2 linked regions of the Arabidopsis thaliana genome follow. The gene in region 1 interacts genetically with each later gene. Each region holds a gene or a part of one and is shown on either strand. Other genes may lie near its edges.

Region 1 (6,688 bases):
ATTCAAATGCACCAAGAAGAAGCTTGTTGAATACCCAAATCTCTATGGCTATTTGCGCGAGATTTACCAGGTTCCTCTTCTTACTGGCTTCTCTCTGAGACATAAATTCTGCATCTGGGAGTGTGTTTCAAATTATGTGTTTGTTGTTGTTGTTGAAACAGATTCCTGGTGTTGCGGCTACTTGTGATATTTCGGCTATAATGGATGGCTACTACAAGACGCTGTTTCCGCTAAACGCTAGTGGAATTCAACCGGCCATTTCTTCATCTGGCGATCAAGATTCTCTCTGGAGACCTCATAACCGAGACTTGGTAGGTAAAGCCATTGAAGCACAGCTTTCGGTTTAAGCGTAGAAAACTGTACATAACTCAATGATAGGATTATCCAACAGCACTCAAAAGTATCATACAATGTAATAAGCTTTGATCTTGTACTATTATCATTCCTCATATATATAGAGAGAGAGAAGCCTTCCACAAGTGATTCTCATGGGAGTTCTTCTTAAGGTGAAATCACTTTCAAGACTTCACTTCGATACTACGATTTATATAAATAGAGAGATCTTTCAATATAAGTCATAACCAAAAGCCATAGCCGTTAGAACCAAAATTAAGATATTCACACGAGTTTTTGATATCACAAAAGTGAATCAGTTTCTAAGGATTATAGTTTCATCCTGATAGCTACCTACCTATTTTATGGACCGCGACTTTGCTTATATGCATTGTCGGAATTTTTTACAAAAAGCGTTTTTCGATTGGAATTTTTTTGCCAATTCATTCACAACAAAAAGGAGTTTGCGCCCACCACATATCTTCAAAACCTACCAATGTAAAGCTCTCTCTCATGCTCGCTTCTTCACATTCTTGCCTTCTGCAGCATCAACAAATTGCGTGTTAGTTGCAAAATAGTGAAGGGCTCATGTTTCAAAACCGAGATAACAGTCAAATATAGGAAAAGGATTATCAAATAGAAATCGTGTGATGATTACTCACTGCTAATCTGCTTCCTGACTCGGCAGAAGTCGCTACCACATTGACAATGGAACGGACTCGTGGGAAACACATCTTGGTTGAATGGGACACCATAATCCTGCAGGTCAAGTCCAAAACTTCTCAAACAGAACCACAAAGAAAACAGGACTTGAACCCGAACTAGTGAAAATTTCTAAAAGAAACAAATCTGTTAAGAGTGGGTGGAGAAACTTCTAACACACCCAGGTAAGTTCCTCCATAGCATCGATCTCTCTTGTTGTGAAGAATGCAAGCTGGAAAAAAATACAGATTAGCTAATCGGTCTATTGTTTCCACATAACAGATGAGTCTTCTATAAGCAAATGATTAGAAATGAAACAAGGAACTGTGTCATACATGATAGTAGTGTGAATCAGTAGTCTCCGCATGAACTGGGATCTCAATCAAATTTGCATCTAAGCATCTGCACATATAGACATAGTACAGTTAGAAGTAATGAATTGAGAGTGAAACCAACTATATAAGTTTCCCAAATGAGTTCTAAATCTAGGCTAGTCATATGAAACTTTATAACAAACTCATTTTCAGTGTCCCTTTACCTGTGATTGATGAACCTGGAAATATTTCCATAGTGCGTTCCTTCAAGAGAAAGTGCTTTGTCATCCCCTGAAATGTCTTCAGAACCCCAGTACGCATCCAATATTACTGGAGAAGTAGGCCTGTCAGAGATGCGTTGGAACAACTCTGGAATGGTCAATATCTCTCCAGCAAGCTCACAGACAAATGCTCCTTTAGGCAGTTTTTCTAGAGTTCTGAGTCCCCAGCCTCTCCCATTGGGCGTGAAAAACACCTGATTCAAAAAAAAAAAAAAAAAGGAACATAAACAAAATTCAGGCATCAGAATCTCTCCACTGGTTAAGTCCAAGTTAAAATGATCATAATCAGTTTCAATTCTATCAGAACTGAGATGGGTTTAGATTATCAAATCCTGGACTACTTGGCTAAAAAGGTTGGTAAGTTGAATGTACCTGCAGCTTGTTGTGAATGCCCTGTTGGACAACTCGGTTGCCACAATTCTTCATGCAGCCACACTTGCTCCAACATTCTTTAATGGCCTTTCTCTTTAGATGCCCTTTGCACGGTTCCAGGATTACTTCTTTTTTGGCTTTCTCTAAAGGACATTCTTTGCAATACAGTAACATTTGTTTCCGCGGATCACGGGCCTCAGAGATACACTGTTCCAGAAAATCTTCCTGTAGGAGGCCATCTACTGTGTATGCAAAGCCATTAAAAGCAGTTGCACATCTGCATGCCATTGACGGAGCCAAGCAATCTCCACAGCAAGAGGAGCAGCATTGGTCATCCCTGATATTCCCAAGCGAAAACTTCACTGCAGCATCTTGATACACAAGACTTTGGGCTATGTAATGGAAAACTGGAGGAACTTTGTCGTTGACCTCATTCACCCAGGGAATCTCAACAGTTTCTTTCCCTAGACTGATGTCCCCGACGCTGCTTATCAATCTCCACTCATCTGCAGAAAGTTGGCATTCAGGAACAACTACCAAAGCCATGGAATCACCAACTGCACCGTTTTCAGCATCACGCATATGTTCGTTGCTGCAGATTTCAACAACATCATTACTGGCCTGAGAAGTATAAGCCATCCTTGCTGCAGATTTCTTCAATGCATCAATGTTCGTTGTGACAAACGGCAAGTTTTTTGGCAATTGGTTAGCTGAATCTCTCCCGTTTGTTGCCAGGTCCAGGTAGCAGCTACAGATGTCGTTCATAAAACCAAGCACAGAAAAGTTGGGGTCCAGTATTTTGTATGATCGGAGACACTTCTCCTCCATTGCTCTTCGTAGTTCCTCCATAGAAGGTAAATGGGGATTTGATCCTCCAGTTGCAGGAGCAAAACTAAGATTAATCTTCACCTCGCCTGAAGCAGAAGAAGCTAATTCAAGTGCTGGAGGTTCTTCTATGGTTGCAGCTAGCTTGTGATCACTAAATCTCGCAACAGTTGTAGGAGAAATGTCATTGGTAGTACCATCAGCAGTACTTACTGTTTCACCAGCCTTCTCTTCCACATGTCCATTTGATTTGTCTATCTCAAGCATGGAAGAGTCCCCTCTATCTACTGAATCTACAGAAAACGTACAAGACACATTAGTTTTGGAGAAAGTAGCTTCAACAATCATAACAACAAAATGAGCAATGCAAATAAGATTTAGTTACTCCTATTTACAAAAAAGTACCAGGAATAGAACTGAGAGGCATATTTGTAATGGGCTCGACTTTTGTAAGAATGAGCTCACCAGCATCATGGTCATTTTCAATTGGTACAGGATGATATGGCAATAGGATCGGAGCATTTTCTTCGTCATTAATTGAAGGTCCCTCTAAAGTCGGACTGCCCAAGCTAGGGCTTGCCAAAGCAGAGCCTCCTTCACCTCTGCGTCGCAGCCTCTTTAAAGGGCGATCAGACTCAGCCATAACATCTTCGTCATCCTCGATAGACTGATATTACACAACAGAAACTGAATAAACAAGAACATGAAGACACATTACTCTAACACAGCAAAGATATTCAGTTTGCCATACTTCATGGAGCTTTTTCTTTCCTCTGTCAACTTCTGCGGCCTGAAAGATTGGATCAACAACAAAGTGAAGCATGGATAATAAAGCAACATTGAACTAATAAATGGAAGATTGTTTGGAAAAAACATACACAGCCTTCATCCTCTTTAACTTCGTCTGCCTTCTTTTCTTCGCTTTCTTGAATAGCCTTTATATAAGTAAATCAATATGGAATGTCAAGGTAATAACAAAGACAATGATTACAACAGATTTACAAAAAAAAAAACAGTAGATCAAAGAGAGAACAAAGAAAGATACCTGATCTTCATGGCTATCGAAGATAGCATCAGCAAGAACCCTGTAATTGTCTTCAGCAATTAACTCCCAGTTTTTCTCGTAAAGGGCGAGAAGGTTTTTCAAGACCGGCTTCACTCGCGCATCCTCTATTCCCATAGCCCTCATAGCCATAAATGCTTTCTTGATATGCAGATTAGGTGCCATCGTTTCTGCACCAACAAAACTAAAACTGATTGTGGGATTGCTTTCGTGAAACAAGTTGTAACTTCTCATTTGCCTCGTCCTATCAAAATGCGGAAGAAACAAGATGTGAAGAGCCGTTCAGTAAGGAAATAAATGTGGCCAGAACTCAAAACATTACAACAATAAGCAAAGACAGACCTAAAGCAAATCAACAACAAACCAAGACTACAGACATCTACCTAGCAGCAAAGACTAACCACAAGTAGCAGAAAAGACTCAGAAATTGAATATCCTAAGAAAGTTGAAACCTTTCCTCTTAAGAAAACACAATCGCACAAAGAAACTCTAACAAAACGTTGTTTTTTCTCTTCCAGAGAGCTAATAGCGTTTTCAGATGACGATGAGACTCAAAAAGGAGAAGACTTTCGTCGGAAATTAGAAGAACTTACTAAGTACAGAGACGAGAGGGTTAGGGTTTAAAGCGAGCTCGGTACAGAGAAAGGATTCCACGATTTTGACTTACTTAGTGAAGAATCTTGGCCGTAATAAGCAAATGACAACGGCGTAGAGACAATGTCGGTGACGACGGCAGAGTATTACGTCGGCGCGTGAGAGTACACGCGAGGACAGTGCCAGGTGAAATTTCGTTTCTTTCTCAGTATCTTGTTCGACTGTGACTTTTTGTTGACCCTCTCTCTTTCTTCTTCTTCTCTGCTTAATGGGCCGGGCTTAATTGGGTCGGGTCAAACTCAATAAATAAGCGAATCTTATTGACCTCTTAAGATTTGTTTTTGATCTTACTACTATCATGTGTATGTAACTATGTATGTCTCAAATTCTCCGGTATTTAAATCCAATGCAGGCAGTTCTGGTAACCTTATTTTATAAAAATTATTCACTAATATTGTATAGGGAATCTATACTTAATTAAGAGTTTCACATATCTTTTACAGTATACAGTATTAGTTCTTTCCTTTTGTAGTCTTTAACTCTTAATGATTTTGAAACATTGGGGAACACCTCTACTTCTCCGAGCAATCTTTTTTTTTTTTTTTTGGGCAAATGCTTGTTTTCATTCATCTACAAGAGAAAACAAGTACAAAGGTAGAAGGATTCTAAGATCACAAAGTTTTAACATACAACAAAGATAGGCATTCCCCAATACCATAAAAGGTAAGCAAAAGCATAGGTAAAATACATCAACAAAGGTTCCAAGAGAGCTATAATCCAAACACACAAAGGCAATTTGGTTCTTGTGAGATCAAGGGTTGTTGACAAATCTTCCACACTCACCAACTCAAAATATATCATATAGAATGTGAAATCCAAAATCCTGCAAAAACAATCATGCTTATCATTAACTCAAAATAATCATAGTGATAATATCTTTTGTAGTTTACAAAAACACACAGGTTTATTATTATTTACTCCAGTTACTACGCAATTATGTTCTGAAATTATGTAAACTCAAAACGATCATGTTTTGTTTTGTTTTGGACACAAAATAAAATCGAATCAATCATTCACATTTACAACAAGGTCTAAGATTTTATTTTCCTTCTCGTATCAGCCTACAATTTAAATCAAACTCATCAAAATATATCTTAGTGCCTTAAACAAAAAATACATATACACAAAAGGTGTTTTTCCATCAATGTCCTAAAACAAAATCCAAATTCAGACAATAAAGTCAGATTTAATGGCATTAAAGGTTATTCACTAAATTCAACAACAAAAAAGAAGAAACAGTAATCATTTTTTTTTGATACTGTATTACATAATCTCCTAAACCAAATCTATATAATAAACACTTGTCGTCTCAAAGTTTCTTTCTTTTTTATCTTACCCTTGAAGCAAGATCCAAAGAAAAGTATACTCCTTTATTTTTCATGGTTTCATACTACAAAACCTGCTCTTATTTACATTTTTTTGTCTTTAAACCTCAAAACAAAAGACAAAAAAAAAACGGAAAACTTTCTTTTTTCCGGACACATAAAAACAACACAAACTTTATTAGACAGAAACAAACTAGTAAAAAGATTTTGAACATCAAGAAACAAAAATCTCTCTCTGTCTTTCTCAATTATGAAACTCACCTATCAATTCTTCATCTTCTGGTTCTTTTTACCATTCTTTGCAATCTCCGGTGATGATGATTATAAAAATCTGATCTTTAAAGGTTGTGCAAATCAGAAATCTCCAGACCCAACTGGTGTTTTCTCTCAGAATCTCAAAAACTTATTCACTTCTTTAGTTTCTCAATCATCACAAAGCTCTTTCGCTTCCGTAACCTCCGGAACTGATAACACCACCGCCGTGATCGGTGTTTTTCAGTGCCGTGGCGATCTCCAAAACGCTCAGTGTTACGATTGCGTCTCCAAAATCCCTAAACTCGTTTCTAAACTCTGCGGTGGCGGCAGAGATGACGGTAATGTGGTGGCGGCTCGTGTTCACCTCGCTGGATGTTATATCCGGTATGAGAGTTCAGGATTCCGGCAAACTTCCGGTACGGAGATGTTGTTCCGTGTCTGTGGGAAAAAAGATTCTAACGATCCTGGGTTTGTCGGGAAAAGGGAGACGGCGTTTGGTATGGCGGAGAACGGCGTGAAAACTGGATCATCCGGTGGTGGTGGTGGCGGAGGAGGTTTTTACGC
Region 2 (4,880 bases), on another chromosome or scaffold:
TATTGCACTGGTTGAGATGCTCTGATACTTGAAGCCTTTTTGCGATACTCTCGGGTATGCCAATCTCGTTGAGCTTCAAGGACGGATCACCAACAACTACTGTCCGGAATGTATGATCACTTCTTTTACCGAGCAGCACGTCTTTCATGAACCTTAGACCGCAAAGTTTTGGTGTATCAGACTTCTTCTGGTACGGATTTGCGGAATCTTTACTCGAAGACACAGTTTCCGAAAAGAGCTGTGCAAAAAACAAGAAATACTACTAACCTTCACAGAACAGAAAGAAGAGTTTAAATCTATCAGGAACCACTAACTTACTCTGGAATATTGCATGCATTCCATCACACGAGAACTCAATTCAAGTGTGTTTCCCTCAAAGCCGACTAGTTTCTTGTAGATCCGAGTCCGTTCATCCTTCAAAAATGTGACAGAAACTCGAAAAGATAAGAGAAATACCATAGTATATGATAACAAATTATATAAACAAGCGTTTTTAGCTTACAAATATTAGCCGAGCTCCGTTGAACTGATGAACTATTTCGGTTACACGGTAACCATTTGGTGTAACAGGAAAAGATGTCAGACCAAGAGAGTTGAACATAGGGATATCCTTCTTGATGAGCCTCTGATCAATCCCTAATAACAGAGCATAAACCTGCAAAAAGGTGAAATTTTCAGAAAACTATATATAGTAAGAAGTCATGGAGATGGTACATTTCACTCTTCTATACCTGTGCATGCGTTATTATTCGCCTTGTTGGTTTCAAACAGCTCTCGTCGATATTAGAGTCTTGCGGCAAAAAACTCCAATAGTCAGGAGGCAATGTTAACACTCCCCGTTTCTTGAGTTTCATCAGACTCTCTTCGTTTACTTCAACAACGATTCCGGATCGCCTGAAGACTTCTTTAGTAGTTACCCTAAACTTCATTAGAGGATAACCGGTATTCAACTGATATATAACAACAACAAAAACCGAAAATTAGTGTTGGAACAAAGTTTTAAACTGAGAAAATTAGTTGCAATCATATATTCTTACAGTGCAGTATCTACATCTCTCAGGCTGGTCTTCGGTAATCTATATCAAGCAAAAATGACATTAGTATATGTAGTTCCAAAACACACAAACCAACAAAGGATTTGGAAAGACTAGTGAACCTGAAACTGCTTTTTTCGAATGTATTTACACCCCGGACAGATTTTGTTTAACAACGCAGCTACCTCCTTGAGGAAATACGGGTTTATTATCGAGTACGCGAAGTTTATAACCCCGAAATGCCCTAAAACAGAGAGAAAAGTAGCAAACTCAGGGAACTAATCATAAAATGAGCTAAAAGATTGGAACAATATTTGCCAAAACCAGATTCTTTATGATACCTTCGCAAACTTTTCGATCTTTGCTGCCACAGGTTCTGCAGACAGAATCCGGATTCGGTAATCCTAGCCGAGAATCAGTCACCTGATTCGGTGCTTCAACCTCTAGCACAGACATTTTATCCTATAATAAAGTACCATTACATTAAATATTTGCTCCATCTACTCATAAACAAATCAAGAAGAATAAATAAGGACAACACTTACTCGATCATTGTTGTTTGAAATGCTAAAACCTATCGAGGTTAGAGTTCCCACGGGAACCTGAAGCTCCTCACAATCGTCTTCCATGTTGAAGAGTTTCCTACAAGAAAAAAAACCATCAGTAAGGAAAATTTAGATACGTAAGTAAAAACATCAGTTTTTATAAGCAAGTTTTAGTGACCAATTCCAATGTGCAGAATATGAAACAAAACCAATATTTAGCATTTAGACAGACAAAACCAAAAAACTCGCTCTGACCAATACTAACCACTGAGAAACAGACAACTTCACAAACTATCTCTGTGAGTGGCCACTTAGAATCTAGCATATATCCAAAGAAAAGAGAGAACATGTTCAGGGAAGAAGATTCTAGCTCAAAAATATTTGACGAACACACAAAATAGTTCAAACTTTGAACACACATTATTGAAAATTAACACTTACTTCTGTAACATAAAACAGAGCTAAAACTCACGGATAAATCGTCGAAAAGATCAGTTTCTATCTGTACCCTCTATCATCAAATCTAATGTGCAGCAGAATATGAAACAAAAACCAATCTTTAGCATTTCATTGACCAGAACACAAAAACCAAAGCAAACTCTCTCTGATCAAAAAATTGACCAAAGAGAAACAGACACTTTTGTTAAGGGACAAAAGTGTTACCACAATCTTCCTCTGTGACTGGCCTATCAAAAACAAGTTATAGATTCGAAATTGAATTTACTAATAGAATCTAGCATGAACCCAAAAAAATAAGAGAATACATGTTCAGAAAAAGAAGAAAGAAAAAAAACTGCAGAACATACACACAAAAAGGTTCAATCTTTGAACATACACTATTCATGGATTAAAAAAAAAAAAATTCACTGACCAAAAAAAAAAAAGGACAAATTTTCCAAATGTTCTTCTAAAGGACTCACACAAACCCTTAGTGCAAAAACATTCGCCGCCTTAAGATGATCTCTAAACGAAAGAAATCGATTTCTCATAAGAACATGCATAAACCAAAGTACTTAACTTTTCACAATCATCCAAAGTAAACAAAGTTCATAGAAACAAAATCGGAGTTCAAAGACAACGATCGATCAAATTTAAACAAAAGAACCGTGATAAGGAATCAGACACAGTGATCAATCAAAAAAAAAAAGAACTCAAATTGTTTCAAAGAGATAAAAAGAAAATTACCGAAAAAGGTTTTAAAAAAAAAAACGAAAGAAAAACCAGAAGAGAATTGAGGAAGAACAACAATGTAGTTACTTACTCGTTTCGTCGAACAGAGAATCCTCACTATGTAATGATCCAATTGAAACAGTGCACAGACAAAAACTTCTGATCCTTAGCTCCGACGGAAGATGCCGGAGAAGAAGTTGAAGAAGAGACTCTAAAGAAAGAACAAAAAAAAAGAGAGGAAAAAAAAATCGAAATCGGAGGCTTTTGAGAAGCCGCCGTTTGTATTCCCAAAGGAAACGGGAAAAAGTGAGAAAGCAGAGAAAACGAAAAAAAAACTCTTCTCTAAGTCCAATGGGGACTTTGGAATGTGAGACACCAAAAAAAAAAAAAAAAGAAGAAGAAAGAGTGTAAATACCGAAACTACCCCTTGACCTGTACCTCTATTTACCTACTTTACGAGTACACCTTTTACCTTTTGGAAATCTTTTTACTTCCTCGGTTGTATTATTTTAATTACTTTATGATTTTCTGTTTCTGCGAATTTTACCTTATTTGTATAAACTCTGAAACTGGGAAGAAAAGAAAAAGTTGAAATATCCTTCCTTAAGTATATTATATTAGCTGTATTAGTTTTTTACTTTTGGCCTAATTTTAAAACTGACAAAAAGTTATTAGAATAATTAATACTTTTTATTAGTTTAATGTAATATTTAAATAAATAAAAATAAGTGTATAACTAAATTTTCATCTTAGCAAAAAAAAAAAATCCTAGTGGTTTTTATTTCTAGCTTGATTTTTGGTTCATAACTATAATATGAATAGCGGGAAAAAAAAATATAATTTGAACCAAAAACAAATTCCATTTCTTTTCTTATATGATTTTGCGATTTTTCTAAATACTAGTTATAATCTCTAAATAATCTAAAATTACATAATTATACGAATTTATTTGTGAAGTTTGTGTTAGTATCAATCAAAGTATGATATGTAAAATAAAATTTTGTTTTACGTATAGTTGAGGCTATAAATTTGTTATCTTTGATTCGAAACATTTATATTTCGTTAAAATATATTTTTGTTCGATAAAAAAATTATGTGTAATTAAAATATATTTTTTGTTTGAAAAACAATTACAATTAGTTAGCTGCTTAGACAATTATCATATAATTTTATAAGAGGCGAAATGTGATAAATAACTAAATTAATTGAGACAAAAATAGATTAAAATTTATAAGATCTAGAATCTTATTTGAGAGTATGTGAATGTCCATTAATAAATCAAGATATATAAGTGAAATCAGTTTTTCTTGTCGGCGACGTGAAATTAGATTCTTGTTTACGTGAAGTTCACGCTTTCGTTTGTAAAACAGTTACATAGTTAGTTTAGTGGTTATTTATTAAAACAGTTTAACATATAATTATTACTAAAATATACTCCTTCTATTTAAAATTAGTTGTCGTTTAAGGTTTTTTGTCGGCGGCGTGAAATTGAATTTTTGTTTACGTGAAGTTCACGCTTTCGTTTGTAAAACAGTTATATAGTTAGTTTAGTGGTTAGTTATTAAAATAGTTTTGTTTAAAATTATTTGTCGTTTAAGATTTTTTGCAGTGAAAATAAAAAAAAACAATTAAATTTTCTACTTTACCCTTGTTCAATATAGTTTCTAAAAAAATTATTGGTCAAGACATTAATACTCACATTTTTATTAAACATTTGCATTAAAAAACTAAAAACGATAATTATTGTGAGATTAAATTTAAGTGCTAAAATGATAATTAAATTAAAACAAAATGAGTATTTGTTTTGAAAAACATGTAGTAGAATAAACTAGACTTAAAAATGTCCCAGTAAATTTTCTTATTAACCTTATAAACTGTAAACATTTGGGGTAGTCTAGTTAATAAAACTATTTATAATGCCAGAAATAAATAAATAAAATTGTGAGAAAAACTATTATTGAGTTTGACAACTTGATGACCCATTATGTAGGCTCACATCACCTGACTAGACACTAGACTACTAAAAATAAGGATATAATAAATTTTCTTCACCTATGATTGAACAAAAATTAACAGTTGCTTTTCAAATCCAAGCATGTTTAGAATAAAAATTTCGTCGATTAATTCATTA

What was found. A genetic interaction does not mean that the proteins touch.
Region 2: of SUVR2 (region 1) and NRPD1A, changing one enhances a phenotype caused by changing the other (phenotypic enhancement), as found in Arabidopsis thaliana (one study listed by BioGRID).

What each region holds. Positions count from the first base shown.
Region 1 is NC_003076.8:17,695,890-17,702,577, reverse strand, and holds SUVR2 (SET-domain containing protein lysine methyltransferase family protein), read right to left. Parts: upstream 4,737-6,688; 5' UTR 4,484-4,736; intron 4,135-4,483; 5' UTR 4,125-4,134; coding exon 3,873-4,124; intron 3,763-3,872; coding exon 3,706-3,762; exon of another isoform or gene 3,651-3,705; coding exon of another isoform or gene 3,618-3,650; coding exon 3,579-3,617; intron 3,495-3,578; coding exon 3,233-3,494; intron 3,121-3,232; coding exon 2,003-3,120; intron 1,825-2,002; coding exon 1,574-1,824; intron 1,438-1,573; coding exon 1,371-1,437; intron 1,268-1,370; coding exon 1,217-1,267; intron 1,093-1,216; coding exon 996-1,092; intron 874-995; coding exon 845-873; 3' UTR 542-844; downstream 1-541. Other genes in the region: AT5G44000 (Glutathione S-transferase family protein), read left to right, coding at 1-70, 162-347; PDLP1 (plasmodesmata-located protein 1), read left to right, coding at 6,120-6,688. UniProt on the Arabidopsis thaliana protein: Probable inactive histone-lysine methyltransferase that acts as regulator of transctiptional gene silencing independently of histone H3K9 methylation.
Region 2 is NC_003070.9:23,359,464-23,364,343, forward strand, and holds the start of NRPD1A (nuclear RNA polymerase D1A), read right to left. Parts: upstream 3,025-4,880; 5' UTR 2,974-3,024; exon of another isoform or gene 2,841-2,973; intron 2,730-2,840; 5' UTR 2,685-2,729; intron 1,677-2,684; 5' UTR 1,664-1,676; coding exon 1,580-1,663; intron 1,497-1,579; coding exon 1,376-1,496; intron 1,279-1,375; coding exon 1,157-1,278; intron 1,077-1,156; coding exon 1,038-1,076; intron 951-1,037; coding exon 732-950; intron 656-731; coding exon 503-655; intron 415-502; coding exon 319-414; intron 269-318; exon of another isoform or gene 239-268; coding exon 1-238. UniProt on the Arabidopsis thaliana protein: DNA-dependent RNA polymerase catalyzes the transcription of DNA into RNA using the four ribonucleoside triphosphates as substrates. Largest and catalytic component of RNA polymerase IV which mediates 24-nt short-interfering RNAs (siRNA) accumulation.